Linked DNA regions of Notamacropus eugenii. The protein of the gene in region 1 binds, or shares a complex with, the protein of each later gene. Links are inferred from orthologs where the notes say so. Each region holds a gene or a part of one and is shown in the gene's direction. Other genes may lie near its edges. The genes, in order: MED8, MED31, mediator of RNA polymerase II transcription subunit 23 and MED19.

What was found.
Region 2: MED8 (region 1) and MED31 share a complex: the UniProt entries of both Homo sapiens proteins name them as parts of the mediator complex. The link is inferred for Notamacropus eugenii from reciprocal best matches to the Homo sapiens genes MED8 and MED31.
Region 3: MED8 (region 1) and mediator of RNA polymerase II transcription subunit 23 share a complex: the UniProt entries of both Homo sapiens proteins name them as parts of the mediator complex. The link is inferred for Notamacropus eugenii from reciprocal best matches to the Homo sapiens genes MED8 and MED23.
Region 4: MED8 (region 1) and MED19 share a complex: the UniProt entries of both Homo sapiens proteins name them as parts of the mediator complex. The link is inferred for Notamacropus eugenii from reciprocal best matches to the Homo sapiens genes MED8 and MED19.

What each region holds. Positions count from the first base shown.
Region 1 is NC_092873.1:504,905,072-504,912,090, reverse strand, and holds the start of MED8 (mediator of RNA polymerase II transcription subunit 8), read left to right. Parts: upstream 1-4,083; 5' UTR 4,084-4,090; coding exon 4,091-4,096; intron 4,097-4,463; coding exon of another isoform or gene 4,464-4,486; exon of another isoform or gene 4,487-4,744; intron 4,745-4,832; exon of another isoform or gene 4,833-5,845; coding exon 5,846-5,964; intron 5,965-6,714; coding exon 6,715-6,859; intron 6,860-7,019. Other genes in the region: KICSTOR complex protein SZT2, read right to left, coding at 3,078-3,248, 3,385-3,564, 3,661-3,786, 3,909-4,083, 4,464-4,486. UniProt on the Homo sapiens protein: Component of the Mediator complex, a coactivator involved in the regulated transcription of nearly all RNA polymerase II-dependent genes.
Region 2 is NC_092877.1:388,544,699-388,552,696, forward strand, and holds the start of MED31 (mediator of RNA polymerase II transcription subunit 31), read left to right. Parts: upstream 1-4,982; 5' UTR 4,983-6,923; coding exon 6,924-6,954; intron 6,955-7,106; coding exon 7,107-7,184; intron 7,185-7,721; coding exon 7,722-7,818; intron 7,819-7,998. UniProt on the Homo sapiens protein: Component of the Mediator complex, a coactivator involved in the regulated transcription of nearly all RNA polymerase II-dependent genes.
Region 3 is NC_092873.1:216,607,347-216,615,171, reverse strand, and holds the start of mediator of RNA polymerase II transcription subunit 23, read left to right. Parts: upstream 1-4,822; 5' UTR 4,823-5,029; coding exon 5,030-5,077; intron 5,078-5,090; exon of another isoform or gene 5,091-5,263; intron 5,264-6,545; coding exon 6,546-6,577; intron 6,578-6,786; coding exon 6,787-6,874; intron 6,875-7,825. UniProt on the Homo sapiens protein: Required for transcriptional activation subsequent to the assembly of the pre-initiation complex. Component of the Mediator complex, a coactivator involved in the regulated transcription of nearly all RNA polymerase II-dependent genes.
Region 4 is NC_092873.1:3,310,395-3,317,604, reverse strand, and holds the start of MED19 (mediator of RNA polymerase II transcription subunit 19), read left to right. Parts: upstream 1-4,210; 5' UTR 4,211-4,290; coding exon 4,291-4,624; intron 4,625-7,210. Other genes in the region: TMX2 (thioredoxin-related transmembrane protein 2), read right to left, coding at 3,709-3,897. UniProt on the Homo sapiens protein: Component of the Mediator complex, a coactivator involved in the regulated transcription of nearly all RNA polymerase II-dependent genes.

The sequences.
Region 1 (7,019 bases):
TGCTGCAGGCTCCTAGAGGACAAGGCCTGGGATGGAGTCTTGGTCGCCCCGGTGCCTGTCACCCAAAACGTCCTTCATAAATGCTGCACAGAGGCAAATGATTCGAAGGAACATCAGAGGTTGGGGAAGCGAGCAGCTGATTAAGATGATGGGGACTGAGAAGAAGACAATGGGATTTCATTCACAAGCACAGTCCCTGCCAGGTGGAGAGAACCTTGCAAAGACTGGTTTTCACAAATTTAGGCAAAAGGGCTTGAAAGTAAAAAAGAAAGTGGAGAGAGGAAACGGCTGTCTCTGTCTTTCCACCAATAAAAACAGCCATAATGAAGACACCAATGACCCAGCCACAATCCTGGTAGGCACGGCCTCTGAAGGCCCTTTGCTGAGTAGCAGCTGTGACCTAGGAGGAAAGGCGGCCTGAGATGAAGCCCAGGACTGCAGCCTGGCTGAGGGAGGGGCAGAGGCAGGGAGGTAAGCACACCACTGAGCACTAGATCTCAAGAAAGCAAAGTCACATGAGGAGAACTCAGAGCCAGAGAACACTATTTCAGCAAAGACCACGGGCAGAGAGCAGCAACCTGGCCACAGGAGGGGACCACAGACCAACTGGGACAGAAAAAGGAAACGTTCTCAAGCCTCACACAGAAGGTACAAGGTTGTGGTGAATGGTGATTCGGATTTGTGCCAGAAAAATGTGTCAGACACACCCCTAGATTTTAGGTGAACCCCTTTCAAAGATGAAATTCAACAAAGAAAACCAGTCTATGAGGAATGAGAATCTCAAGAACAAAATTCCAGGAAAAAGAGAAAAAACACAACGTGAACAACAAGAGGGAAGTGTGAAAGGCTGTGCTTCCCCACAAGATCTCCACATGCTGCAGCAGACTGGAGGATGGGGACTGAGGATGGCTCCCAACCAGTGGCCATCCAACATCTTCTTGCAGCCCTCCTAGGACAGCGGTGCACCTCGGGGCGGTTCTTGTGCTGAGTTTGTCCCAACATGGGTTCCTGGGTCTGTCTGTAAAGGCCAATTTGGGAGAACTGCTCCCTCATCCACAGACAGGACGGCAATCCCTCAAACGATGGGAAGCAGGCAGCACTGGCATGGCCAGAATCTCGCATAGCTTTTCAAAAACATTTGCAGAAGCAAAGCATAGGAAAAAGTGGCAGAATGGCATGGCTAAGAAAGATCTGGAGGTCCTGGTGGGCTGTCAACAGTTTGGTACAGAAGCACCCACGAGGAGAGGTGGCCACAGCCATCACTGAGGACTGGTACCATATTTCAGGAAGGCCGTGACAAGGAGCAAGGCACGGAGAGGATGTAAGATGGGTTCTCCTCCATTTGGGAAGGAGCCTGAAGTAGTGGGGGCAGAGAGAGGGAGGTGGGCATAGGAGAGCTGTAGACTGGCACTGGTTGGCTCCCAAGAGCAAAGAAAGAAGCAAAACTTGCGGGGAACAGAATTGAGCTTGAAGTCAAGAACTTCTAAGCCTTGGCTTCTGTCCATACTCCAGCTGAGGGGGCTTTCTAAGGTCCATGTCGATCTGCCAAATCCCAGTTCTTGGCTGCACCAAACACTGGCTGCATCCTCTCCCTCCACAGGTCCTGGCCCTGTTCTCAAGGCTCTCCTGTTTGACCACATCTTCTCAGGCTCCCCTTCGCCTGGAAAGCACGGTTTGACCCCAGGTATCCTCTTCTCTTTGCCTCATCAGCCCCCTGGATTTCACTACCGTTTCTACATCTCTTTGGAACGCCAGTCCCAGAGCCCTGCCTGGACCTCCTGCAGGTCTCTTGAGCAAGATCTGTGCTGCGGGCCCAACTTTCTGACTTGCCCAGCCTGCCCAGGTCACCAACCTCTCCCCAGTTGATCAGGTTCACGCCCTCAGCCATTTTCACTGACTCCTCGGAGTCAGCCAGTCACCAAGCCATGTCAATCCACCCTTCACACTGTCCACGTCCATTCCCTCATCTCCCCTCATAAAGCTGTCCCCTTCACTGACCCTTCATGGAAAGAGTACACAGAGCAGCCTCCTGTTGGGCCCCATGCCTGGTCTTTCCTTCTTCCATCCATCTCTGTCACTGAAGCCAAAGGGATCCTCCTCAGTACAATCACTCTTAACCTTCCCTGCCACCTTTGTGTTCCTCCCCTTATTGTACCTGGGACCCCACGATCCTCATGACAAAAGTGAAACACCTGTATGGCACTGCAAGCCCTTCAAAACCAGCTGCAAGACTGATTTCACATCACTTCCCATTTGGCTTACTTGCTGTTACCCATACACAAGCATTCATCTTCTATGGTCCACCTCCATGCCTTTGCGCAGGCTGTGACTCATCCTAAGAATGCTCTCCTTTCTGACCTGAGCCTTTTGGAAGCCTGCCTGTCTTCAAGACTTAGGTCAATTCTTAGGGAGCTTTTCCCGCCTCCCTTGGCTGGATCCCCCTGCATACAGCAGGTGTGTAATAAGTGCTTAGTAGGGTGGGCTCACCCCCTCACTGGATGGTAACTTGTCTGAGAAGGCTGAGGAAAATCTTGTTCCAATCTAGTTGAATCAGATGCCTCAGATCCCCTGATTCTGGATGAGTCAGGGTATGGGGTCCCACCACATAGTAAGAGCAGCAAGGATAGCACAAGTGTAGGTAAAGGGGGTGGGGTGGGCAGGGGAGTATCTGGAGTACAGGCCCCAGCTATACCCACTGGGGCATAACTATGCAAGGCTAGGCGGAAAGCAAGATGTCACAACAGAATTTAGAATGCTGTATTTAAAGACATTTGATCCTCCCCACCACCCTGTGCAGTCAGTGTGGTCGCTAACCACGTTCTTCCCAGAAGTGAGTTGTGAGCGTCACCTGCCTAAGAGTCCGAGCCCTGACTCCAAGCTTGTCAGCCACCTGGGCGTGGGGGGAAGGGCACAAAACGTGGAGAAGCACTAAGACCCCCGCGCCCAGAGGCGGGGAGGGGAGGCGCTAGGACCCCCGCGCCCAGGGCTGGGAGGGGAGGCGCTAGGACCCCCGCGCCCAGGGCGGGGAAGGAGGACTCGATCCAGACGCGGCCGCGCCGCCGCAGGAGCCTCCCTACCTGGTGGGACTGCAGGCCGATGATGGAGGAGTAGGCCTGGATGGTCACGTAGATCTCTGGCTGGAAGGTGATGGAGGAGCCCGGGACTCGGAAGGGCCGCAGCAGCCCCTCCACGCATCGGGAGAGGGCCCTGAATACCTCGTCAAAGAGAATCTCTCCGGTGGAGTCATCCTGGGGGGAGGGGGCAGGTCAGAGAATGGGGGTGCTGGGCAGGGGGAGTGGGGTGGGGGAAGGGGAGCCCCCCAGCGGCCGGGGGGAGGGGCAGGACCCCCCACCCCCCGCAGCCGAGGGCTGGGGGGGGCCTCACCACGATGCCCGTGGACGGGCTCAGGTCCAGCTCGATGACAAAGCGGTAGCGCCACGCCAGGAAGGTGACGCGCGTGGACGGCACCAGCAGAAGCGCCCGGCCCGGGGGCCCCAGCGGCTCGTCCGGCTGCCAGCCCGGCGGGAGGACGCTGAGCACGGCCAGCTCCGGCTCGGAGCGCAGCTGCGGGGAGGGGGCGGGGCGGTCAGGGGCCGCGGGGGCCAGGGGGCTGCCCGCCCCCCGTTCGCCCCCCGCCCGCCCCGCCCCGCCCCCACTCACCAGCTCCTCGGCCGAGGCGGCCCGCACCGGCTGGCGGAGGTGGTTCAGGAACCAGGCCAGGCGCACGTTGCGGGAGATGCGGTGGCCCTTGCGCATCAGCAGGAAGACGTGCGCGGCCTCGTCCACCTGCGCGGGGAGCTCGGCACTCAGAGACCCGGCGCCCCGGGGGTTGCGGGGGGCCGCTCTGCCCCCAGGCCTGGCCCCGCACCCACGCCCTGAGCTCCCGGGACCGCCCGCCCCAGCCTTACCTCGGCCGACTCCGCCGCCATGGCTGTCAGGTCCCGGGTGACCTCTGACCCGCCGCGACCCGGAAGCGCTCGGCCGTCGCGTCGGAAGCTCCCGGAGAAGTCGCGGGGTTCGACGACGGTGCTTCCGGAAGCGGAAGCTAGGGGGCGGTACCCCGGAATGGGAAGTTCCTGCAGCCTACAAGATGCAGGTAAGCGCTGGACTGACGGTAGCGGGGGGAAGCGAGGCGGCCTCGGGTCCGAGATCCCGCGGAGGAGACCTTGAAGGCCAGGCCCAAGAGCTCGCGGCGCTGCAGCGAAGCTGGGGGCCCCCCGGGGCGTAGGAGCGCGTACACCGGGGAGTGTCTTGGGGTGTGGGCGGACCCGTAGCCCGATGGGGCCGCGACGTTCTCTACCCTGCCCTCAATTTACGTACAGACACTGAGGCCTAGGAAGGCACCCTTGAGTGAGCCAGGGTCTGCCATATATGCAGCGAGCCTACCCCGCCTTTGCCCCGGGCGGGGGGAGGGGGAGGGGGCGTGGGGTGGGGGAGGGGACGTGGAAGGGAGAAGAGCTTACTGAAACCTGCAGCGGGAAGGCATTCGAGGAAGGAGGGTCTGCCGAGACAAAGGCTCAGAGGCAAGAGGTCCAGCCGGACCCACGTGTCTCTGGGTAAAATCATCCACAATGAGCCTGGAGAAGTAGGTGGGAGCCTAGCTAGGAGGGGCTTTAAGATCCAGCCCGGGGAGCGTCTGTGCCCTGGGCCACTCTCTCCGGAGGGTGTGAAGGGAGGCCGGACCGTGGCATCAGCCAGTGTAGGCTGTCGTGGGAGGACAGAGGAGCAAAAGGGTCACCCCTCCCCCTCCTCCCCCCCCCCCCAAGCTCCTTGAGGGCCCCGGTCAGGGACCGTGCCCAGGGAATGGTCTGATTGGTCGTCAGGGCTCACACCTGGCTTAGGAGGATCCGTGTGCCGAGGGCTGGAGATGTCCTGAGGGGCAGGGCTCGGGTGTGGCCGGGAGGGGAGCTCCCACATGCCGAGGGCTGACCTACCAAGGGCAGACTTAGAGAAAGCAAACTCTGGCGGGGGGAGGGATGGAGCCTTTCATTCTCTGCCCTCCAGGTATCAAGGAGTGGTCAGGATCCCACAGGGACCCAGGGACCAGGGTGGGGGCAGGCTGTCCTGGTCCTGTGTCACTGAGCAGGAGCATCCAGGCTAGCCTGACAGGCTGCCTCAGGAGGGGCCCCCAAGGTCAGGGCCTGGTGCAGACACCCCAGGGATGCCAGGGTGTGGTAGGCCCTAGAAGAAATGAGGTGCTGCTGATAAGCTAGGGGCGGGAGAAATGCAGGTGGGGGGCAGGATGCAGCGTGTGGCATGCCAATCCCCAGGGTGGCCCCTAACCCGCCTCTGGGTGACCGCCTCCATCCTGCCCTGAATGGGATGGCCCACCTCTGCCCTGTCTCTGCAGGTGCTCCCCGTGGTCACCAGAGATTCAGGATGGAGTGCCCACACAGTCTCTCACCATAGCCTTGTTCCTGCCTGGAGCACGCTTCGTGCCCAGGGGCCCTCTGGGGATCCTCTTGTGCCACATGGTACCAGTGCAATAGAGGCAGCATGTCTTGGGCAGTCAGCAGCACTCACGCAGACCCTGGGGAAGGGGCAGACACCCTTCCCTCCCCTCCTGGCTTTTCTGCATCAAGTCTTCACCAGGCCTGGGGCTCTGGGCTCTGTCCTGGGATTTGCCCATTAGGACCCTAATAGGACTCAGAAGGAAAAGGCAGCCTGGTGCAGTGAGGGTGAGACTTGTGTCCCTGCCAGCTAGCCCCTCCTGCTCACCCCTCCCTGGGGCTTCTCAGTCTTCTCATCAGACACCAGGTGCCCCATGGACTCTAAGTCGAGATCTGTGTCTGGCACACTGGGCCCTGACCACCTTAGGCTGACTGGCTGGTCTCTGTCCATGCAGAGGGAAGAGAAGCAGCTGGAGGCATCAGTGGACGCACTGCTGAATCAAGTGGCAGATCTGAAGAGCTCCTTGGGAAGTTTTATTTGCAAGTTGGAGAACGAGTATGACCGGCTTACCTGGTAAGGGCAGGTGGGCGGAACGGCCTTAGAGCTCAGCAGGAGGCAGGCATGCTGCTCCTGAGCCTCCTCAGTCACAGTTTAATTTCCCAGCTTCTGGGCCCCCCCGGAGGACTTGAGCCCCTCGTGCAAGTCAGGGCTGGAGAAGGGTTAAGGCACTTGTGTCCAGAGAAGATGAAGCTCCTTAGACAAAGAGCTGGGGAACCCAGTCAGCACAGACTCCCCTCTGTCCCCAGATGCTGGCAGTCCACTGGTATGAGTGAAGGGCAAAGGCATCACTGAGGCAGCAGGAAAGATGCGTCATTTTACTTTGCTGTCTGCATTCTCCTCTTCCAGTTTTCCATACATTGGGTGCCATAGGAAGGCCAGTCCATGGGAAGGCCCACTATGTTTCCGTTGGCAAGTAGAGGCTAGTTCATACGTTAAAAGAGGTCTTTTGGAGACAGCATGGTCTAATCAGGGTCTTGACCTATAGAACTTCTCTCCTGAGGAGGCTTAGTATAGGCTATCCAGGCCTTGCTAGCTTTAAGAGCCTTTTCTTTTCCTGCAGCCATGTCAGTCTCAGTCCCAGATTGTGCATCTGTTCTAGGTGGGCCTGGGTGTAAAGGGTCATCACATCTCTGAATCCTAAGGCTGCATCTCTGTCTTTCTCTGAAGGGCTCTCAGGCAGCTGTTACTTCCCCGAGGGGGTCCCATGGGTCAGAGCCCACATTTTTAGCCAGGCCCTATTCCCATCTCTTCCACTCCAACTAGGCCTTCAGTCCTGGACAGCTTTGCTCTGCTCTCTGGACAGCTGAACACTCTCAACAAGGTCCTCAAACATGAGAAGACCCCATTGCTCCGGAACCAGGTTATCATTCCTCTGGTGCTGTCCCCGGACCGAGATGAGGAGCTCACGGTGAGAAGCAGGGCCTGGGAGAGCACAGCGAGAGCAACACATTCCCTCTAGTCTCTATCCAGACCACCCCTCACCCCAGCCACTGGGGCTCTTTGCCCCTTTCTCCACTTAGCTGGTGGCATTTGCTTTGGGGCGCTTGTTAAAAGATAGCCTGGGGTAT
Region 2 (7,998 bases), on another chromosome or scaffold:
GGTCTGGCCTAGAGTCCAGGTTTTGCTGCTGGCATGCTGTGTGGATGGGGGAAGTCACCTGCAGCTGCTCTTTGATGCCTCCTTGGCCTCCTTGTCTGAGGCAGGCGTACAGTAGGAAGCCCCAGGTACCCGGTGGTGAAGGCCTGGGTTATGTCCACCACCCCCACCACTAGCTAGAGATCACTGTGTGCTCCATGCTGGCTCACACACTGATTCTTAGATGTTCTCGGGCTTTCCTGAGTGATGCTTGATGTTCACTATTCAAGGCAGACATTCCAGTGCCAGGGTTTGTAGTGCCCAGTACACATTTGGAACTCAGCTGGGCTCATTAAATAAAGGACAGTTAAAAGGGCAGGGGTGTGTGTGTGTGTGTGTGTGTGTGTGTGTGTGTGTGTGTGTGTGCATGTGTGCGTTGGGGGACATGCTAGAGTAACTCGAACTATTGAGAAGCTTTTCTTTCAGTCTCCCATTATTTGGGCCACCCTCCCCCACCCTGCCAAAGGGTCTCCATCCCGATGGGTTCTGCAGGTGTGGAAGGTGGGCCAGGTCCCAGGCTTCAGGAATGGAATCTACCAGGGCCACTCTTCCTCCTGACAAGTGAGGGCCTGTCCAAAACTCTTCTTTCTGGAAGAGTTGGTGGCTGCCTGTAGCTTTGGGCTGAGCCCTAGCATGTCTAACTGGCCTTTGAACAGTTGCAGGCCCTCCAGGGAAGGCCAGACATAGGCACGCTCAGCATACAGACTGCACTCCCACCCAGACCTCAGGGGTGGGACCACATGTGACACAGGAGGATGCTGAGATCTAGGGGGAGAAACAGCCTGACCAAAGCTGGTGGCAGAGCCAGAATTCAAGGTCAGGCTTCCAAAATCTCGGCCTGGTCATTAGGCCAAATCTGTACTCAGACCCACGTTCTGATGAACTCAGTCTTGTGATCAGCAGGACAACATGAGACTTGACAATAAGGACATCTGGCCCTTCCTGACCGCCTCTCCCTGGTCAGCATGCAAGCCCAGGACAGGTTAAGTTAGGTAGACAGAGAATTAGAATTGGAGATAGGACCACCTGAGTTCAGATCTTGCCTCAGACACTAGCTGTCTAGTCTTCCTAGATTACTGACGCTGGGCAAAGCCCTTAACCTGCCTAAATCTCAGTTTCCTTATCAGGAAAAGGGGACAGTAGCCATGTGTGCCTCCCAAGGTTGCTATAAAGATCAAATGAGATGGTATGGTAAAGCATTTTATATGTGCTTCTATGAGACAAGGAAGCAGGAAGGACCAGCTGGGGACTGGGATTCTCTCATGCTTCCTGGGAGCTTTCCAAAAGATGCAGCCTACCTTCCCTTGTCTCTACTGTGTGTCCTCTGCATATCTGAAAATAATTTTACCTCCCCTAAAGGGTGGCCTGAGTCTCAAAGGGTGGCCTGGGTTCTAAAGGAGTGGCCCGGGTTCTAAAGGAGTGGCCCAGGTTCCACAGGGAGGCCCAAGTTCCAAGGATAGCCCCGGTTCTAAAGGAGTGGACTGGGTTCCAAGGATGGCCCAGGTTCTAAGGGGTTGCCCTGTACTGGTGGGTACTCTCTCTCACCCATACTTCTGCTGCTTGGTGGTTCAAAGCTCTCCTTCCTGCTTTCAGGGGCCCAGATCAAGCACCAGGTGGGGCCTCCCTGTGACTCCAAGCCCTCCCCTGCTCTTCTTTCAGTCTAGGGGTGCATTTCCCATTTCCATCCAAGACCTAAGAACTAAGCCCAACCCCAAATCAGCAAACAGTGAAACAATCCCAGGAAAGATCAGGGCCTTTGCCAAGAGAGGAGCTCAGGATCAAAGACAAAGGAGAAAAGCCATCTTTGGAGAGCCCCATCATCAGATGAAAGGCCAGCGCCAGGTCAGGGCCACAGGAAATCCTCAGGGTCTGAGAAGCCCCTCACAGCTAAGGCTTCAGGGGACTTGGAAATGAAGGCCCTGGATCTGAAATCTACCTCTGCTATTTCTCACGAGTGACCTAGGGCAAGTTATTTTCTCTATGTGGACCTCAGTTTTCCCAGAGGACACTTAAGATTCCTCCCAGCTCTCCATCTGTGAACTAAACTGAAGACTGGGGATGCTGAAGCAATGACCAGATGGCTCCTGCCCCCTTGGCCTCTCACCAGCCTTCTCTCATTGCCCAGTGAAACCTCTGCTTGGGCACCTGCTGCCCCCTACTGTCCATTTTTAGCCTTAATGAGGGCAGGCTTCCGACATCCATCCAATTCTGCCAAGGTGCGAAGGTCCAGGCTGCTTCTGCTCAGCTCCGGGGCAGTACCAGGGCCAGTGAGGGGGAAGGTGGACAGGAAGATTAGGGCTCTATTCCTGCCATGAGAGCTGTTCAGTGAAGGGTGGAGAAGAGCAGGGTCCCTAGAGAGGCAATGATTCCTGAGGATGCTGAGCTTTGGAGGGGCTGCTGTGGGACATCCCTCAGCTGCACACAGGACAGTCTGGCTGGCTTGGAGAGCTTGTGAAGGTAGCTAAGTGAGTCTGGAAAGGCAGACTGGAAACACACTGTGGAGGCCTCTGCCCACCACTCTGGGGCATTCTCACTTGATCTGAGAGTCAGTGGGGAGCCATAGTTTTTGAATGAGGGAGTGAGGTGGTCAAAGATTTGGGCCTTTCCCATCCACCATCATCCCTTGGCACACAAGAAGCAGCTTTGTCCAGGGATGATCCAGTTCTCCCCATGCTGGCCAAAGAACCTTGGTCCATGGCTTTAGGAGGCGAGCTTCTCTTTCCCTTCCTCCTCTTTGACCCCCAGTCTCCTGAAGTGGATTTGGACTCTCCTTGCCACTGTGAATCTTGATGACCTGGGGCATTGCCTTGTCTTCCGGGATGTAGATGACCCTGAAACCTCTGTATGCAAAACTATTTGCTCCAGGAAGAACTTAATGCACAGGGCACTGAGTAGGCCATAGGAAAGTCCAGCTGCCTTCCATGCTGCTGGGATCCTCTGCCTTGGCCATCTTGGGGGCTCTCTAAGGAGCACAGTGACTTGGGAGCTCCAGGGCCTGGTCTGTTAGGGATCCTTCACCTCCCACTGCCTGTCATCATTTTTAACCCAAACAGAAGCTGTTCCACAAAGGCAATCCAGTTTGTTCCCTAGTATACTAAGGAATCATGACTCACATCTGGGCCTCCTGATGGCTAGCTTCGAAGCCTATTTCCATGTGCTGAACTAGACTTGCGTATTGCCCAGACCCCCCATTCCATGCTTTCTGAAGAGCTCCTGTCTCTAAAGAACTGTGCAGTGCATCCTCAGAACAGCCCTGCAGGGTGAGGAGGGTCTATTACCTAATGCATGTTTTTCTGTTACCATTTTAGCCAGAAGAAGTGACAAGCCCAGGTGACAGGGTCAGTGAGGGTTAGAGCCTGGGCTTTAACTGGAATCTCATGGGGGGTGAGGGGAGGGGGCTTCCCACGATGTCTTGTTCTTTCTTCTACTCTGATGCCCTCCCCCAGTCCCATCTCCCAGTTCGGTTGAGAGGGATGAAGGAGAAGTGACCCACCCTAGCAAAACAGGTCAGATTTACCCTAGCCAGAAGGAATGTCTCCCTAGCACAGACTTTGGAAGGAACACGTCATGTTTCCTCCTCTCTACTAGAGTATAAGCTCCATGAGTACAGAGACCTGGCCAGCTTTGTTTTATATCATCCCCAGGCCCTCACACAAGCTGTGAGCACACAGCAGGCACTCCAGAAGTATTTGTTGGGTGCATGGATAAGTAAGTAAGGAAGAGAATGGAAGAAGGAAGGAAGGAGGGGAGGAAGAAAGGAAGGAAGGGAGAGAGGGAGGAAAGGAACGTCATGTGGGAGGGGCAGAGAGAACAGTTGGGCTGGGTGGCTGAGTGCAAGAGGGAGAGGAACAAATGTGAAGTGAGTCTGAAAAGGCAGGTTGGGGCCAGCTGTGAAGAGCTTTAAAGGCTAAATGGGCAGTGGTGTGCAGATAGATGGTTAACAAGCAGTTCTTGAGGGGCAAATGAGACACTTTACAGTTTAATTTGTGTAATTAACATTTTCTCCACCACTTTCTTAAGTCTAGACAATCAGCACAACAATCCCTCCAACTGTGATGTGTGGGGTTCACTGTCTCCCAAGGTGTAAATGATCACACTGAGCATGGAGCTGTGGGCTCCCCCACTTGCTGGGCAGCTCTAGGTGACTTCAGCAAAGCCCTGTTAGCAGGGATTTTATATTTCCTTCTAGAAGCTGTATAGAATTGTTGGGATTATTGAGCAGGAAATCACATGACTGGATCTGTGTTTAAGGATGTTACTTTGACAGCGCATTCTAGGGCTGACTGGAATGGGGAGAGACTTATCCATACCATGGATTTGCTTGAGTTCCTGGTGTGAAAAATAACTCATTCAGGCTCCAGAGAGATGAAGATAAAAGAAGAGTTTACAAATGCACTGCAGCGTCCTGCTGGATTGACACACCCTCCAGAAACAAAAGGAAGCCTTAAAAACCCATGCCCCACCACAAAGTCCCTCTCCTGTCTCCCTAGAGGCTGGGTAATGCAGGGCGTACAGGTTTCTGATCCTCCCTCACATGTTCTCCCTCTCCTGTACACACATCGTGTAACCACTGAGATGAAGCCTTAGCCCTCCCAAAGGAGGAGAATGGGCATTCCAAGCAAGACTTTACTCCGTTGACTTCTAACCTCAAAGCAAGATAAAACCCAGCTGGAAGCATGCTTTGCTGCGTGAGACACGAGGAAGGAGTTATGTCTCCCACTCTGCTGGTTGTTATTCTAAATTTATGGACACACACTTCTCTATTACGTGTCTCAATTTTCCTTCTGCTGCTGGAAGATACTCTAGTGCTAGTCTATGCTGTTAGTGTCTTCTACAGCCAATTTACTTTCCTGCATTTGCTGCAAAGTCAAAAGACTTCCTGGTACGCATGCATCCCCTGGATTAAAAAAGTCACATATTACATAATTTTGGTGGAAACAAAAGGTTGTTTTTATCATTCCTCCCAGTCCTTCTCCAGCTTATTTTACAGATGAGGAAACAGAGGCAAACAAGGTGAAGTGACTTGCCCAGATACAACTAAGAGCCTGAGACCAGATTCTAAACTAGGTCTTTCTGACAGCAGGCCAGGCACTCTAATCACTGTGTGCCACCTAGCTGACAATTATGAGGGAAGTGGCCCTATTTCACAACAGAGGAATGGGGAGAGACTTGTGTCAGGCAGACCACCAGCAGGCTTCTTCAATAGTCCAAATATGAGATGATGAGGGGACTGCACAAGGTGGTGGCACAGGTAGAGAGATGTTACGAAGGTGACAGGCCTTGGTAACTAATTAGATCTAGGGGTAAAAGGGAGGAGTTCAGAACATCCCCTAGGTTGCAAATCTGGGTGACTAGGAGGATGGCAGTGCCTTCCACAGTAGTGATTGTGTGGTTTGTCCTTCATTCTTGAAGAGGACCATAACATCAGGGAGATGATGACATGATTTGCAATTGACTTTGATTTGAGTGAGGGAGGGCTATGCAAGGCAACTTTCTTTTCCAGAGCCATCTGGGTTCAGGGGCCAGATATCCATTAGGATCTGGAGGAGGATGCAGTAGGAGATCTCAGCCCTTTTAAGTCTTCTCAAGGGATGATCTCTTTAATGATAATAATAATAAAATCAAACTGGAAGGGGAAGACTTTCAGGGTTGCTGGCCAAAAGAGAAACAGTTAATATTTGCATTCACTCTAAGCCAGGAGGGCCAGTAAAACAACCATTAAGGCAGGGATCTACTGTGGTCAGTCCTTCAGATCCAGGGTAAATTGGGTTTAAGGCTTTGTCTTTGAAAAAGAAATCTAGTCAGTAAACCCCAAGTTTAAGAAGGAAGCTTTCCACCATCAAAATTTACATTCCTTCGGACAGAACATCAGAGAAGGGAAAGTAGAGGAGAAGGGATCGGAGGAAATGGAAAAAGAAAGGGGAAAGGAGAGGGAGAGACTTAGGAGGAGAGGAGCCTTCCACATTAATAGAAAAATGAAGAATGGAGGCCTGTAATGTTTGAGACATGCTGAGCTGAAGAAGTCTACAAGACATCTTATGGGAGATGGCCAGTAGACAGTTGGAGGTCTCCCTCCCAAAAAAATCGGCAACGCAGGAGACCCAGAGAGGCCAGGCAGTAGAGTGAGCTAGGTCTCGGGGCTGCACAGCAGGATCAGTCAGAGATTAGATGTTTGGTTTTTCTCCAGGGCATTTTTCCGGAGTTACAGATAGTAAAGTAACAGTGTAGCCCTCACGCCCGACCCCAGGGATTGGATTTTGCGCCCTACCCAGGTAGTTACTTTGTATACATCCTCCCCGTACAGCTCCTAGTATAGAACGCGTTAATTTCAAGGTTGCTCCTTCCGCCCCCTGCCCATGGCTGCTTGTGGTTACTTTGTATCCATCCGACAGTAATCTGTCCGACTTAATTTCAGGATCGGGCTCCCCATCTACAGTTACTTTGAATCCATTCTACCGGGGAGAAGTCTCCAGACCCAGACAAAGTCAGTTTCAGGGGCTCCCCTCGCGCTCCGCCCCCGTAACAATAGCTGCTACATTGTAATTCAGCTCCTCAGCAGGTTGACCTGTGCCTCGGGTGCTCGGCGGCGGGCACTTACAAAGCACCCAGCCCCATGCGGCCCGGAGCCCAGGCGGGGTGGAATTCTGTAGGGCGCAGTGATCCCGAGGTAGGGTGGCCCCGCTCCGCGCCCCCTTTCCCAGGCAGCTGCGCGCCTCTCCCTGAAGCACCGCCCGCAGCCCCTCCTCCACCGCCCATCTCCCGCCCCCTCTCCCACAAGACGCCGCGGCACGCAAGCGCGTGGGGTGGGACGCGGCGCAGGGTCTTAGGGCCCGCGGTGTCGCTGGCGCGGCTGCGGGAGCGGGGCGGGGCGGGGCGGGAGCTCGCTTATGGCCGCCGCCGTCGTCATGGAGACCTCGGGTGAGTGCAGGCTCCTGGCCGGTTCCGGGCTGGGGGGGAAGTGAGCTCCTGGCTGCGGCCCATTTCGCGGTGGGAGGACTGCGAGGCTCGGCTGGGGCGGGAGCGGAATCTCACGCGGCTCCGGACGCGCTGAGCTCTCCTCTCTTCCGCAGACGACGCCGGGAACCGGCTGCGCTTCCAACTGGAGCTGGAGTTCGTACAGTGCTTGGCGAACCCCAACTACCTGAACTGTGAGTCCCCGAGGCTGCTGAGCTGGGTGCTAGAGGCGGCTGGGGAGGCAAGGGCAGGGTCCCGACTGTGTGTGGTTTTTATTGACAAGAGCAGGGCTCAGGGCACTAGGGCCAGCAGGTAGGGGAAACTGAATCTGCTGCCAGGGAATGATTTTGAGACTTTGGGGTAATCCTGGGGCTGAGCTGCCCCAAGGCATTGAACATCATCCTTAGTCATACTCAGCACTGAGAAATGCCAAAATGCCCCAAGCTGTTCCCTTTTTCTACCCGAGCTTCGACTCTAGTAATTGAGCTTTGTTCAGCCTTTCTCTCCAATCACCTGTTCCTGCTTACCTCCTTATCTCTTTTCATCCATCCATTTCAGTGTCCCTCCCTCCACCCCTTTCACTTTCTTAAAAGACCTAGCTGAGTAGTTGGTCTGGGATGGTGATCTGGCCTATCGGAGAGGGGCTGGCATGCCCAGCCCTGGGAGGGTTTCTCTTGTCTGCATCCTGTGGGTGAGCAGGTGGGCCCCAGAGTGACTTCTTTGTCTTCCAGTCCTTGCCCAAAGAGGGTACTTCAAGGACAAAGCTTTCGTCAATTATCTGAAATACCTGCTTTACTGGAAAGAGCCAGACTACGCCAAGTACCTGAAGTAAGTCTCAACAGCGAATTCTGAATTTGGAAGCTGATGTTTTGCCTTAGAAGAAATAATACCTGACTGGCTTCCCAGGTGCCTTCTGGGGGTTGGCAGAGTGCCAGCTGTACTTCATCCTTAACTCAGGCAGCTGTTGGGAGTCAGGAAAAGTCAAGTTGAAATGTGGCCTCAGACACT
Region 3 (7,825 bases), about 290 Mb from region 1:
TTTAGAGGAATATGCAATAATTCTAATTTATATCTCTTAGAATCTCCATTTTTCTATTTAGATATTTTAGATATAGTAAAGGAAATATTCACGATATGTTCTTTGAATAATTTACATAATTCCATTTTGAGTTCAGGACCAGGGGGAGGGGGGATCAGATTTGTGATTTCACTGGTATAGTGAGCTCCTTTCTGGATCCAGATAATCCCTGTATCAATGCATATCTGCACCTGTTCCTCAGTTTATGGTGTTAGAGAGTTATCTGGGCACACTGGAAAGTTAACAGGGTTTGTCTAGGGTCTCCCAAAGTTGGGATTTGAACCCAGGTCTTTCTTATATCATTGTGACAACGGCAGAAAGTAATGATAACATTATAATATACACATGTAGTGTTTCCTATTAATAGGCAGAGAGAGAGAGAGAGAGATACATAGCATATATCACCAGAAAAGGCATGGGACACGATCAGACCCAGGAAAACAAACTAGGTCTCAGAAACATATGGAAATGATGGGGTACTTGGGTGCATGTGCTTGGATCCCAATTCTAAAATCACATTTCTCTTTAAAAATCACATTTCTCCCTAGCCTCAAAACACAAAATATTCTCAAAATCTCAGGCAGGTTCTCCTCGGCCCAAGGACACAGCCTGCCCCAGCAACAACCATTATCTCCCTTCCTGATACAGCAGCCACCTGCACCTATGGAACTTATTAGTCTGAATCAGCTGTGTACTGGCTGATCTGGCTGTGTACTGCATCATAATGACATTTACTACTCACTGACCAATCATATGTATCCTAGACTTAGACATATGCATACTCCCTTACATTTATCTTGTCTAACAAGACATTGATGAGAGCAGCCTGATTTTCCCTGGTCAGCCCTGACCATTGGTTGACTTAGTGATGTTTCAGGCCTAAAACCACACCTCCATGTAACACCCTCTTGGGCTATTTCCTGATGAACTCTGGATAAAATACCTGTGCCGTAGATATGAAAAGTGCATGTTCCTTTAAGAACTAACCACACCCTGATCACCTACTTAGCATATTTGGCACACACTATACTATAGAATATCCTATATAAACTTTACCTCTATCCCTCTAAAGTGGCAGTTTCCCTAAGAACTCTTGTGCTAAAAAGCATAATAAATCTTTATCCTGACCTCAACAATGCTTGAGCCCATGAATTCATTCCATGTGACCTGCCCCTGGTACTCAGGTCTCTGTGGGGGTCTCAAACTCCTCCCTTCCAGTCCTCATCAGAAATATCTTTCCTCCAGATCTCTTTCTATTCAAACAGGAAAGGATACATTCTGAAAAGATTGTAATGTAAAAATTATAGAAACATACTAACCTTTTTAATTAAGATGAAAATATTAATATAAAGTATTGCTACAGTTTAAAGTTCTTTCCAGATTTACCTTAAGGGAGGAAACTTGATCAGGACTTAATTGAATTTCTTGGCAAAAAGAATGCCCTTCACTAAAATCTTTTATCTTAGTATTAATCTCTTTCTTTTAGGAAAGTATGTATTGTCTGGGCTGTTGTGTAGTTTTGTAAAACATGTCCATAATAGTCACGTTGTGAAAAAAAACACAAAAAAAACCCTCAAGAAAAATAAAGTAAGAAAATATACTTCAATCTGTATTGGGACACCATCAGTTCTTTGCCTGGGGATGGATAGCATTTTTCATTATAAGTCCTTCAGAGTTGTCTTGGATTATGGTATTGCAGAGAATAGCTAAGACATTCACATTCTTAGAATTTTGCTTTTACTTTGTACACAGTACATTTCACTTTGCATCAGCCCATGCAAGCCTTTCCAGGTTTTTCTGAAAGCATCCTGCTCATCATTTCTTATATGTAGTACAAATAGTATTCCATTGTAATCACATACCACAACTTGTTACACCATTCTCCAGTTGATGGGCATCTTCTCAATTTTTAATTCTTTGTCCTCAGAAAAGAGTTGCTATAAATATTTTTGTACATAGAGATTCTTTTCCTCTTTGTTTTTTGTCTCTTTTTGGGACACTGGCTTAGTAATGGTATTGCTAGGTCGAAGGGTACACATGGTTTTATAGCCCTTTGGGCATAATTCCAAATTTCTCTACAGAATGGTTAAATCAATTCACAACTCCATCAACAATGCATTAATGTTTCATTTTTCCCACATCCATTCCCAACATTTGTCATTTTCCTTTTCTGTTCCGTTAGGCAATCTAATAGGTAACAAGTAGTACCTCAGAAGTGTTTCTATTTGCCTTTCTCCAATCAATAGTGATTTAGAGTACTTTCTCATATGGCTATAGATAGCTTTGATTACTTCATCTGAAAACTGATCATATATTTTGATCATTTATCAATTAGGGAATGGCTCTTATTTCTTATTGAAGTAGACATTATCCCCCCCCCCCCCCGCCCCGGAGCCCCTGGGTTGAGAAATGTCTGTTGAGTTTCTAGGTAGGGTTGGGCCCCCCTTTGCCTAGTAGCCACTTTCTGTTGTGCCCCCCTTGCCTAGCAGTTGCCCCCTCTTTGCCTAGCAGCCACCCCCCCTTTGCCTAGGAACCCACTCTCTGTCGTGCCCCTTTGCCTAGGCAGCCACTCTCTGTTGTGCCCCTTTGCCTAGGAGCCCACTCTCTGTTGTGCCCCTTTGCCTAGCAGCAACTTGGGCCCCTGTCAAAACTGTTCTGTGAGATATGTTTGCTGTTAAAACCACAAAGCTGTACTGAGAAGTGCCGAAATGCTTAAAAGGCACACACACACCTTTTTCGCGGCTGCCTCTTCTGGGTTTTTCCATGAGACAGCCGCTGGCTAATAAAGACGCTCTCAAATTCTCAGGTGACTCTTGCCTGTGCTTTTTCTCTCTCTGTCCATTTCACTTATAAATCTGAATCAGTTCTCTTTTGTCTGAAAAATGAGGCCTGTTATCAGAGAAACTTGCCTCAAAAATTTTTTTCAGTTACTATGGCTAATGATATTTTCCTCCATCCTACTGAAAGCCCTTGCCTTCACCTCACCCTTGTTTATTCCATTATCTGCTTTCACTCTGTTCCTCCTCAAGTGTTTTGCTTCTGACTACCCCCTCCCCCAATTTGCTCTCCTTTCTATCACCCTTCGTTTTTGAAGAAGACCATGACATCAGAGAAATGATGACATGACTTGCACTTGACTTTGCTTTGAGTGAGGGAGGGCTGCGAAAGGTCACCAGCCTCACTTTCTCCTCCTGAGCCATATGGGTCCCATGACCCATCAAGATGACTGGAGGTGACCCAGGATGCAGTGTTAGGCTGGCCTTTTCAGGTACTCACTTCGAGGGAGGTAAAGACCATTGAGTGAAAAGGCCTCTTTAAGAAGTAGTCAGGGAATGGCCCTTTTAATGAACAACAACAACAAAGAAATAACTAAATCAATCCGGAAGGGAAACAGAAAATGTTACCATTGATAATCACTCTAAACTAGCCATTAAGTGGAGCTTGGGCAGGGTGTTGTCTGGAAATTGTATTAAGGATGGTAATCAAGTTTAGAAGGAGTAATAATTCAGATGTAGTTAAGATCATTGCCCTCCTTGGTCCCTTCCCCCTTCCCCTCTTCTAAAGAGAGTTGTGACTCCTGGCCAGCTCCTGCCCAGAACATCCCCTTCCTCTTTCAGAAGTGGCACTTCTAAATGTGTCCCCCTGCACACAGCAGGCACGAAATAAATGCTTCTTGTTTTCTGAAGCGCCCTCTTCCCTCTCTACTCCCAATGGCCTCCTTATGGAACATCGAAGCCCAAAGCTCCCTGCATTACAGAAGTAGGAGAAGGAGGGAACGGGAACGTCACATATAAAGCCAGGCATGGTGGATGTGTCGGCTCCTTTCTTTTGGACTGTTCTTCCTCATTCTTTCCCATCTACCTGCTTATCTAGCCCTCTTCTCCTGAGTGCCAGTCCCTCACCACAAACTGTCTATTCGATATTTCTCCCACTGGCATTTCAAACTCAACATATCCAAAACAGAAATCAATTTTTGCACTATGTAGCTCCTTGGATGATGGGGAGAAGGTTCTATTTTCAAAAGGAACTGTGTTTTTATATTATGTGTATACACATATATGCACTCCTATATATACATACATACACAACCATCGCTGATAAAATATATTTATATATTTTAATGATGTAAGTACTATGAAATATAACTGTTAGATAATACCTAACAGGTACACGGAAGCGCTTTACAACTATGACCTCATTTGATACTCACAGCTACTTTGGGAGACAGGTGTTGTTACCGTTATCCTCATTTTACAGATGGGGAAACTGAGGCAGGCAGCGATTAAGCGCCGTGCTCAGGGTCACAGAGCTGGCGTCTGGGGCCAGTTTTGAACTCAAGTGTCCCGGACTCCAAGCCCTCTGCTGTATCCGCTGCCTCGGGCCAATAAAAAAAAAAGGATAAAATTCATTTTCCAAATTACCATCACACAAAGGTGCAGAACAGAAACGTCCTCCACCAGCCAACCAGCGCTTATTAAGCCCCCAAGTGCTGGACACTGAGCTGAGCGCGGGGGACATAAAAAAAAAAAATACGCAGCTTCCCACTGCCTAAAACAGAATAAAATTATTTAGGAAGAGATTGAGGTGGGGGGAGCGCAAGGATGCTAAATAGAGGAGCCCGGGCAGGGTGGATGAAGGAGCAGACAAACAGGTTAGGGAGGAGACTCCCGGGGGCGGGGAGGGGCGGAGCCTCCGCGTGATTGGCTGGGAGCGCTCACCACGCCCCTCCCTCGCCTCCCGGAAGTGCCCGGTCGTTGGCTCGCGTCTCCGCCCGGCGTTTCCGGGAGGGGAGCGAGCCGGGCGTCCCCGCGGCGCCGCGCTGGGTACCCAGCTGTGCGGGGCTTCGCCCAGCGTTCGGCGCCGAGGGAGGGGTCCGGGCGCGCGCGGCGCCCACGCTCGAGCCGGGCCTCCCGGGGCTGCGGCGGAGCTCGAGCCGCGATCGGAAGAGGAGGGCTGTGGGCCCGGCCCCGCCGCCCCGGCCGCCGCCGCCATGGTGCAAATGGAGACGCAGCTGCAGAGCATTTTCGAGGAGGTCGTGGTGAGTGCGGAGCCGGTGCGGACCGCAGGAAGGGGAGGAGGGAGAGAGATGCCTTCCCCTGCTGTGGCTCCCCCAGCATGGATCAAACGCCTGCTGTGTGCCGGGCCAAGCGCGGGGTAGCCAAAGAGAAGGAAAACCAGGCCCTCGCCCTCCCCAGGGGGGAAGACGGTGTGCACGCAACCTCGCGTAAGCAGTCTGCCGTGATCCATGAGAAGGGATTCTCTCGGGGAAAGCGCTAGCGACCAGGAAAGGATTCTTGCAGAACGTAGAACTGGAGTGGAGGCCAAAGGGAGAAGGGAGAGCATGCCAGGCAGGGGGCACGGCCCGGGCAAAGGCATGCAGGCTGGAGATGGAATGTCCTGTTCGAGCACCAGCCAGAAGCCCGGCGTCTCTGAGTTAACAGACTATGCAGAGGGGAGCGGAGAATAAGATTGCAAAGGGAAAGGGGCAGAAGTGGGAAGGCCTTTACACGTCAAGCATAAGATTTTATATTTGATCCGAGACCTCCAGGTGGGAGTAAGATTTGTCCAGTCAGACTACATAGCTGCTACTCATTTTAATGTTTTCAGGCCAATTTCTTGGGAGCCACTGGAGTTTATTAGGTAGGGAGATGAGCTCGGCCCTCCAGATAGGAAGTTTGAGGAGGACAGAGTTCGTGGGGGATTTCACCCCTTTTATTGGAAAGTGCAGGTAATCCAGAATCCCACAGCTCATCGTGTTGAGCGCACGGTTTACCAAAACCCTTAGATCTGTTTTTCAGAAGAATGGGGCAGACTGATGACAAGTAAAGAGGCCCTAGGTGAGGGGGAGGATCCAGCAGCTGCCATGGTCATGTGCAGTTGGGGGCCCTCCAGGCCAAGGTTTCTGAGCCTTCCTGGGAGCTTCTGTGTCTTGGCTTAGAACACTTAGAGATGAGGTCTTTCCTTCATGGGAGAAATGGTGAGGACGCAACTCCTTTGCCTTGTACGTTCCCTCAGGCTCAGGTGGCCTCCCTCCTCTCTGCCACTGCAGCTCCTAGTCCTTCAGAACTCCTCAAGCGCCCCCTTCTACACTGGACCTTCCCATTTCTTTCAACTATTACTGTTAATCCTCTAAAATTACCTTGTATTTGTGCAAGGCCTCTTATTTTATGGATAAGAAACAGGCCCAGCATGATTGTGACTTGCCTCAGGTCACCAGGCTGTTTCCTCTGATAGAATGTAAGCAAATTGAGAATGGGGACTGTTTCATTTATTTCTGTATATGCACAGAATACAGTAGGTGCTTCATGAATGTTTCTTGCTTGGTTGATTAGTCACTCCAAGCTAGTTTTGGTCCTTTAGTCTGAAAAAGGTTCACTTTGACTAAACCTAATGTGCTTTATTGAAGGTCACACAACAAATCAGAGTATGAGAGCCCAGACAAATTGGGAATATATTTAAGTACTCTTAAAATTTAATGGCGTTTTTTTTGTTTGTTTATTTTACAGAAAACAGAAATCATAGAAGAGGCATTTCCAGGGTAAGTATAATGCAAGATAAAAATCCGTTTATGTGGTATCTATTTCTTTCCCTGTCCTTCTCTAGTTTCTTGTCATTCTGGATATCCTTTAATAAGCACAATATTTGGTAGATAATGAGGGATCTGTGCAGGGTTGCTTTTTAATCACGATGGTGACCATTTGTATGTAGCAGTTGGTAGCAGATGATAACAGTATTTTCTTTCTTTAGCATGTTTATGGATACACCAGAAGATGAAAAAACAAAACTGATCAGCTGCTTGGGAGCTTTCAGACAGTTTTGGGGTGGCCTTTCTCAGGTGAGCACTAAAGTTTAAATAATATCTCATATGTAATGTTGTGATTTTAAAATATTTTTACATATGCTATCATATTTGATCCTTATAAGCCCCATGAGGTCGATAAGACAAGGATTTTCTTTTCAAACTTCATCTGGCAGATGAGAAAACTGTGTATATAGTTACTTGCTTTAGATGGGGAAACCAGGACTAAAATTTGTATACATTTCATTATATTGCTTTAATATAAGCAGCTCTCCATGTTGTTTTTTAAAGATTCAAGGAATGGGGATTCTGTAGTCTCTTCCTGTGTTTAACTGTATTTTGTTGGTGGTGGGTAGGAGTGAGATTCATTATGTCAAACTAAATAAGAATATTTTAATGTCTTTAAAATCTGTATAGTAGCTTTCCTGTAAAACTTTGGCAGACCAAAAGGTCAATTTACAACATAGGAGCCAAGCATTCTCTTTGTTCCCTTGTATTCAGAAACAGCAGGAATCAGCAGTGCCCTATGTAAGTTTTTTTTGTGCCAGAGGATAGAAAAGATAGTAAAGATACTTTCAGTTGGGAAATAAGGGAAGACAGGAACACTGATGGAAGTAGAGGCAGGGCCTTACTCCTTTGGTTTATCTGCAGAATCATATCCATCTTAAAGGTGGGAGACTTGACTTCTAATCCCAGCTTTATCATATATTAGCTTCATGACCTTGGGTGAATCACTTGCCCCCACCCCTTTCTCTGAGCCTCAGTTTCATCATCTGTAAAACCACAGGGTTGGATTAGATAAGGATTTCTTATCCTGGAGTCTGTGAACTTGTTTTTGAAAAAATATTTTAATGTGGTTTTTTTTGTAAGCTTATATATTTTATTTTTAGGCATTTAAAAACATTATTGGGAGGAGGGGGTTCCATAACCTTTACCAGACTGCTAGAGGGTTTTATAACAAAGAAAAGTTAAGACTTTAAGAACTTG
Region 4 (7,210 bases), about 500 Mb from region 1:
AAAACTGTGAAACTATCCATGCCTATGAAACCTGTATCAATGCCATCCATCTACTCACCAAACATAACTACTTCTGTATGGAGGACTTAAACCTAGCAAAAAGCCACCAACTTGGAAGCAGCTCTCTGAATGAGGTGAACATCTGTGATCACTAAACTGCCAACAGTCCATTCAGGAAGAATTTGGAAAAAGATACTTTCATACTCAAATACAATCATATTTCATTACGGGTAACCAAATTACTCTAGGCTTAGGAATAAGAATTTTCCAGGACAAGTTTCTTGTCTCTTTTAGGAATATCACTGTCAACAGCAGAGCAGTCATTCAACCTGCTTCAACCCCAAAGAGGTAAGCAAATGAGCCAAAATCAACATGGACTTCAGCACACATCTGAAATCTGAATTTTCTGTCCCAATTCTCTGTCATCAATGAAAGGCAGAGGGAGCGAACACTGGTGAGTCTCATGCTTGAAGCAGAAGCTAGAGAAGGTGTCCATCTGCTCAGTCATTTATTATGTGCCTACCATGTGCCGGATACAAAGAAAGGCAAAAGACAGTCTGCCCTGGAGGAACTCATGGTTTAATGGTGAACTACAAGTGTTCAAAGTAGGAGAACAAGTCTGAGGTCAGACACAGCAGGACAGCAGGAAAGAAGAGACAGGGAAGAAAGAAGGGGGACAGGGAAGACAGTGTAAAATTGTTCACAAATTCAGAATTTGACTGTGGGTAGGGACAGCCTCACCTGTTAGACATTTTATAAAAAGGGAAGACATTTCACCTCTCCACACTGGTCTGTTGAAAGCCTCAGCTTCAAAGGTGGAAATATGGCTTAGAACAACAGAAACAAACATCTAATAGATGTTTGCTTGTGAGCAAAGCATTGTGGTGGATCCTGGAGGGGTGGAGGAGCTCATAAAGTTTAGCTAACCACCTCAAAGTACTTTGTGGGGCATGGGAAGGAAAATCTGGTGAAGGAAAGGAAACTTTGCTCAGGTGAGGAAGCTAAATCCAGGAATGGTGAAATGACTTGTCCGAGTTCACACAGATATTATGTGCCCAAGTACAAAACAGAATACCGCCTGAATTATGGGGGTGGGGAGGATAAGGGACAGGAAGACAGACTTCTAGGAAGGCTTCCTGGGGGAGGTAGCATCAAAGTTGGATTTTAAACAAGTAGGAATTCAAAGAGCAGAGGGGGAGAGGGAGAACACCCCAGTAATGAGAACAGAGTAACACATGCTGCAGGGAGGGTAGGGAGTAAGAGACAAAGCTCTACAGTTTGGTTGAAGCAAAGTGTACCTGGATGGGAAGTCATAGCAAATATAACAGGAGGGGTGGAGAAACAGCAGGGTAATACCATGAATTTGGAACTTGAAAACGCAATAGGCTTTTTATAGGCAAAAGGTCTAATTTCTAAGTTACAGAGAGAACTATTTGAGTAAAAGCCATTCCTCAAACAACAAATGATCAAAGGATCTGAATAGGCCTCTCAGATGAAGGAATCCATGCTATTAATAGCTGCATGAAAAAATGCTCCAAACCACTAATCATTACGGAAATGCAAATTACAACAACTCAGAGGTTCTACCTCACATTTATCAGATTGGCAAAATTAACCAAAAATGGAAAATAACAAATATTGTAGGCCTGTGGGAAAAAAAAAGGCAAAATGCACTCTTGCGGGAGCTATGGACCGGTCCAGTCATTCTGGAAAGCCATTTGGAACTTATGTCCACAAAGCGATTAAACTGTTCATATATACACTTTGACCTAGCAATACCACTACTATGTCTCAATGGAAGGTAAGAAGAAGAGGACCCGTATGTACAAAAATATTTATAAGCAGTTCTCTTTGCCATAGCAAAGAACTGACAACTGAAGAAGCGCCTGTCAGTTGGGGAATGGCTGAACAAATGATGCTACATGAATGTGACAGAATGCTAGTGTGTGGTAAGAATGATGATGATAACAGTTTCAGAGAAACCTAAGAAGACTTGTATGAACTGATGCAGAAAGAAGTGAGCAGAACCAGAACAATTATGTAATAACAGCAACACTGGAAAGGTAAAGAGCTGCGAAAGACTTAGGAATTCTGATCAAAGCAGTGAGCAAACACAATTCCAGAGATCTCCTGATAAACTGCTACCACATCCTGAAAGAGGAATGAAGAATGAGACCAATTTATTTGGTCATGGTCAATGTGGGAATTTCTTTTGCTTGATTATATGTTTATAACAGCGGTTGTTTTTTTTTTTCGTTCTTTCTCATGGAGGTAGGATTTGGGGCAGGGAACTGGAGTTGAGATATTGACTGAAAAACAAAATTTAATTTAAAGAAAGGCAAAAGGGAAGATATTTTCACCTGGCATAACATAACTCAATCTCTGGGCAAACCTATTATACAATGGCATAAAGGACATACTGGAGGAAGGAAAATAGATGCAGAAAAACTTTCTAGGAAGTTATGACAATATTTCAACAGGATGATAAAGAGGCTAGAACAAGGATGATGGCCATGGGAGCAAAAACAAGAGATGGAGAGGAGGAATGTCATATATTTCCTCTGTGAAACTTGAGTTCTGAGGAGTGCAATAATCATCTTTTTCACCTTGGTAGTCTCATGTGAAGGTTGTGAGGAAAGAGCTTTGTAATTACTACAGAAATGGGAGGGAGGGAGGTATTCTAATTTATTATCATCATATCAAAGATACTCTTACTTGAAGACCTTATTAATCTCCTTTAGGATGGGATGAAGTGCTACATATACAACAGACACTTAATGAAACATGATATACTAGAAAGAACCCTGGACTTAAGAAGTCCAAAAATCCAGGTGTGTGTGCCATCTCCACTACTTATTAACTTTCTGACATTTGTCAAGTTGCTTCCCCTCTATATGCTTCAGTTTCCCCAGCTGTAAATTCAGGTATGGGGTCCGCTGTGACTAAGCTTGGAAAGGCAGCATGGGTTAGTGAAAAGACCAATGGATTTGGAGTCAAAAGACTGAACGGTCGATGAAAAGATCAAATAACTTTTACAGACCAGAACGATGAATGACAACAGTTAAATGACCAACACATCATCCTGGGGACTGGAGAGAGCAAGCTACTCACCTCCTGAAAGATGACGCACTAAACGTGAAGGAAGAGATGGTTTTTTTGACAAAGCTAATACGGGAATTAATTTTACTCGGAAGATTTTTTTAATGAGAAGTGGCAGGAGGGAGAGAAAATTGATTTTTGTCCTTTAAAACTTCACGGTGAGCCAATGGAGAAGCTGGTCTTCTGCTCCAGCAAGCGCCCTCCCCTCCCTGGGCTCCAAGGGCGGCGGTGCTGCTCCGTGCAGGCTCTAAAGGGACACGGAAAGGAAGGCTGCCGCCCTGGGAGGCGGCAAGGGCTTGTTTCCTGCCCGACTCTGTAACCCGGCTTCTCGCCGCCCCCTTCACTTCCAGACTGGCTTTACAGCAGAGGCCGCGGGATCCTGGATCTGGGCCGAGGCATCCGGGCCAATTCTCCCTCAGTCCTAACGCGATGGAAGGCGCTGCCCAAGGTCACGGCGGTGGCACCGGGTGGGCCTGGGCTCTGTGGGGCAATTTTTCCCGCACCTCCCGATTCGGTCGGGCCTGGCTCAAGGCTCCTGCCCCCCCGGGGCTCCGGAGGGTCATTCCCACCCTGCCCTTCGGTGACCCTGGGGCCACCTCCTCCGCTCACCCAGTCAAAGTCGCAGGGGTTGCCGTCCTCGCGCTGCGTGGGGAGACCGAGGCAGACCGGCGGCAGCTTCCTCACGAGCAGGAAAGCCACCGACAGGAGCGCCGACAGTAGGTAGTACGGCTTAGCCAGCCATCGCGAGAGCCGCGGCACCGAGTACAGCAGCGCCAGCAGCGGAGCCAACACCGCCATCTTCCTCCCCCTAAAGCAGCAAGCGCCACCACCGCCGCAGCAGCTCAGCCAAAGTACCTGCCGGACGCCGAACCGGTTCCTCGACCTCCTGCCATCCGGGCTTTCCAATTGGGCCGCCCCTCTGTCTCTCCGGAACCTCAGCCTGAAGCTGAATTATGATTGGATGTAGCTGAAAGAACGGCCTTTCTGAAAGGCTGGCCTCTCAGGGCTTCCCTCTTTGATTGGATGCTGAGAACAGGGTGGGCGGAGAGATAGGCGTTTTCTGGTCACTGAGCTACATTTCCTTTACGTCATCTTAGAGCGACGGAAGTTCTTCGGCCAGTGGAGCCAGACGCATCCAATAAATAGAGGCGCTAGGAAGAGGAGGGCGGTGCTGCACTAGAGGGTGGCCCAATGAGAGGCCGCGGCGGTGCTAGACTCCGAGTGGGCGGAGGCAGAAGCGGCAGCAGAAGTGGCAGCAGCGGCGGCGGCGGCGCCGGCAGAGGCAGAGGCAGAGCGGTCGACGCGATGGAGAACTTCACAGCTCTTTTCGGTGCCCAGACTGAGCCGCCGCCGCCGCCACCGGCCGCACTGGGTTTTGGGCCGGGGAAGCCGCCCCCTCCTCCGCCTCCTCCTCCGGGTGGGGGCCCTGGAACTGTCCCGCCGCCCACCGCGGCCTCAGTTCCTCCTGGTGCTGACAAGGCCGCAGCTGGGTGCGGGCCCTTCTACCTGATGCGGGAGCTCCCAGGTGAGTACGGATGCTCTTGGAAACTAGCCAATCAGCTGCTAGGGAGGGCTTGACGGTTGGGGCTGTGGGCCAATGAGCGGAAGCGACAGATAATGGGGCAAAGAGGGCGGGGATATATAGGTATTTCTGTCAATCAGAGAGCCGAAGGGGCGGGACCGAATGAGCGGGCCAGCCAATGAACGGGCTTGTGGAGTCCAGGCTAATAGAGTCTAGAGGACCCGGGTTCTAAACTCCTGAAATTTTTAGCTAGCGGTGCTACCGCGGCCTAGTAACCATGCAGTAAACGCTTGTTGGGTCTTTAAAGTGCCGTATGAATTGTCTGTTGGTGGCTCGTCACTCAACCTTTGTCGGCCTCAGTTTGCTCATCTGTAAACTGGATTTCATAATAGTAGCACCTCATCTTCCAGGGTTGTTGAGGGGGTAAAATGGGTGAGTCTTCGTAAGGTGCTCCATAAAGCAGCCTGTGACATTCGCTATGGAGACCAGGGTGGCTCCTCCTGGTGAGCTACCCAAGTAAGACAAGTTGTGAAGAGACCGGGGCAAGGCAGGATCTAGCGCCTCAAACCACCTCCCAACACCTCCTAACGTCCTGCCCACTGTGGACTGGCGCATGGGCAGGTAGTCTAATTTATGCGGATCGCCGTCTCAGTGCAGACTTGTCTTCTTTGACTAGCCGACAGGGCCCCGCACTTCCAGCAGTGGGGAGAGGGCTTGTGGTGTTTTTCAGGAATGTCGTAGGGAATGACCTGGCTGGAGGTTCCCATGAATAGGAGCATTCATCACAGTGCGGGGCCACTAAACGAAGCCTGCAGACCTACCCTCACTTGGCAAGTTAAAGAGGAGTCCTTTCACAGACCTTGGGAGCATTTGGAACCATCGCAAGATCAGTATAGGGGTGGGGGAGACAGTGACAGCTAAGCTCAATATTGAAGTTATTCATAATCTTGAAGAAAAAGAAGAGTGGATGGCCCTGGGCGGCAGGAGGAGAGAGGAAAACTGGAAGCAGAATGGCAGATTTTAAGGTCATAAGTCTAGGAAGTAAAGGGAGGTTAGATATAAGATCTAAGAGATATATGCAAAGTATCAACAGAACTTTATGATTGTTTGGATGTAGGAGCAAGAGAAAAAGAAGAGTCAAAGATGATGTTTCAAACCTGAGTGACACAGAAGGGTGGTCTTTGGTGCAGTAGAAAGTGTTGAATTCACTACAAAAATCAAAATTTGAAATCCTGACTTTGCCACTGATTACCTTTGGAACCATGGACAAGTCACTTAACCTGTTTGGATTATTAACCTCTCGGTTCTCTGTAAAATGAGGGAGTTGAACTAGATGGTTTTTAAGGTCCCTGCTCACTCTTGCTCTAAAACTACTCTTCTGTGACCATTAACAGAAATTGATAAGTAAGAAGATGGTCGTATAGAATAATATTTCAGGGGAGGGTGGTGAGTTTCGTTTTAGAAACGTTGAGTTTGTCAAGATATAGAAATGATTAACAGATAAATAAAATATCAAAGGCTATTCCCCAGTAGATAAGTGGTAAAAAGAATATGAACAATTTTCAAAAGAATTGTAAACTATTAACAACCATATGAAACTATGCTCCAGGTCACTAAATAAGAGAAATACTAAACAAAACAACCCTGAGGAACCTCATACCCTGCAAATTGGCAAAGATGACAAAAGGTGGGAAGTCAGTGTTAGAGCAGTTGTGGGTAGATATCACTAGTATATTGGAGCTGCAAATTAGTACAACCAAGCCATGCGTATAAAGTGACTAAAGCGTCCATATGCTATAAGAAATTAAGTATAAGATGAACACAGAAGGATGGAAAGATCTACATGAACTAGCGAAGACTGAAGTAAGCAGAACCAAGGAAACAGCGTATGCACACAATCACTACAAGGTAAACAGAATCAAAAGTGAATGGTGCGAAATTATGAAGAACAAGCCTGGCGTGAAAGAAGATATGAGTCCCACCCCATCCACAAATGTACATTGTACATATTTTCAGACCTTTTCAGTTTATTGATCAATTGTGCTGATTTTTTTCCTCTTATTCTTAAATTTTTTTCTTTTATTTAAAAAATGTTATTTATTATCTGGGGGGGAGGAAGAATATTGGGGGAAATTATGGTAACATTAAAAAGGGAAGGAAATGGAATAAGCATTTCTGTAGTGTCTACTATGTGGTAGGTACTGTTCTAAGTGCTTTTTTTTTTAATATCTCATTTGATCTTCACAATAACCCTAAGGTAGATGCTGTTATTATCCTCATATTACAGTTGAGGTTATTGAGGGTCACACAGCTAGTAAGTGTCTGATTCTGACTTTGAACTATTGACTCCAGGCCCAGCCCTCTATCCATTGTACCACCAGCTGTGATCAATCAAAACTTAATTTTTATTTTAAAAGATTAGGAAAAAAAGAAATATTGAACTTGAGTTGACTGGAGAAACCAAGTAGAATTGTCTCACAGCAGGTTGGAGGTATAGAATTGGAGTTTGAGGAAGAAGTGAGGATTGGAGATAGAGGTGTGTCCATCCTCCTCAGAGGCAATATTGGAAGCAAGAGTATAGCCGGATGA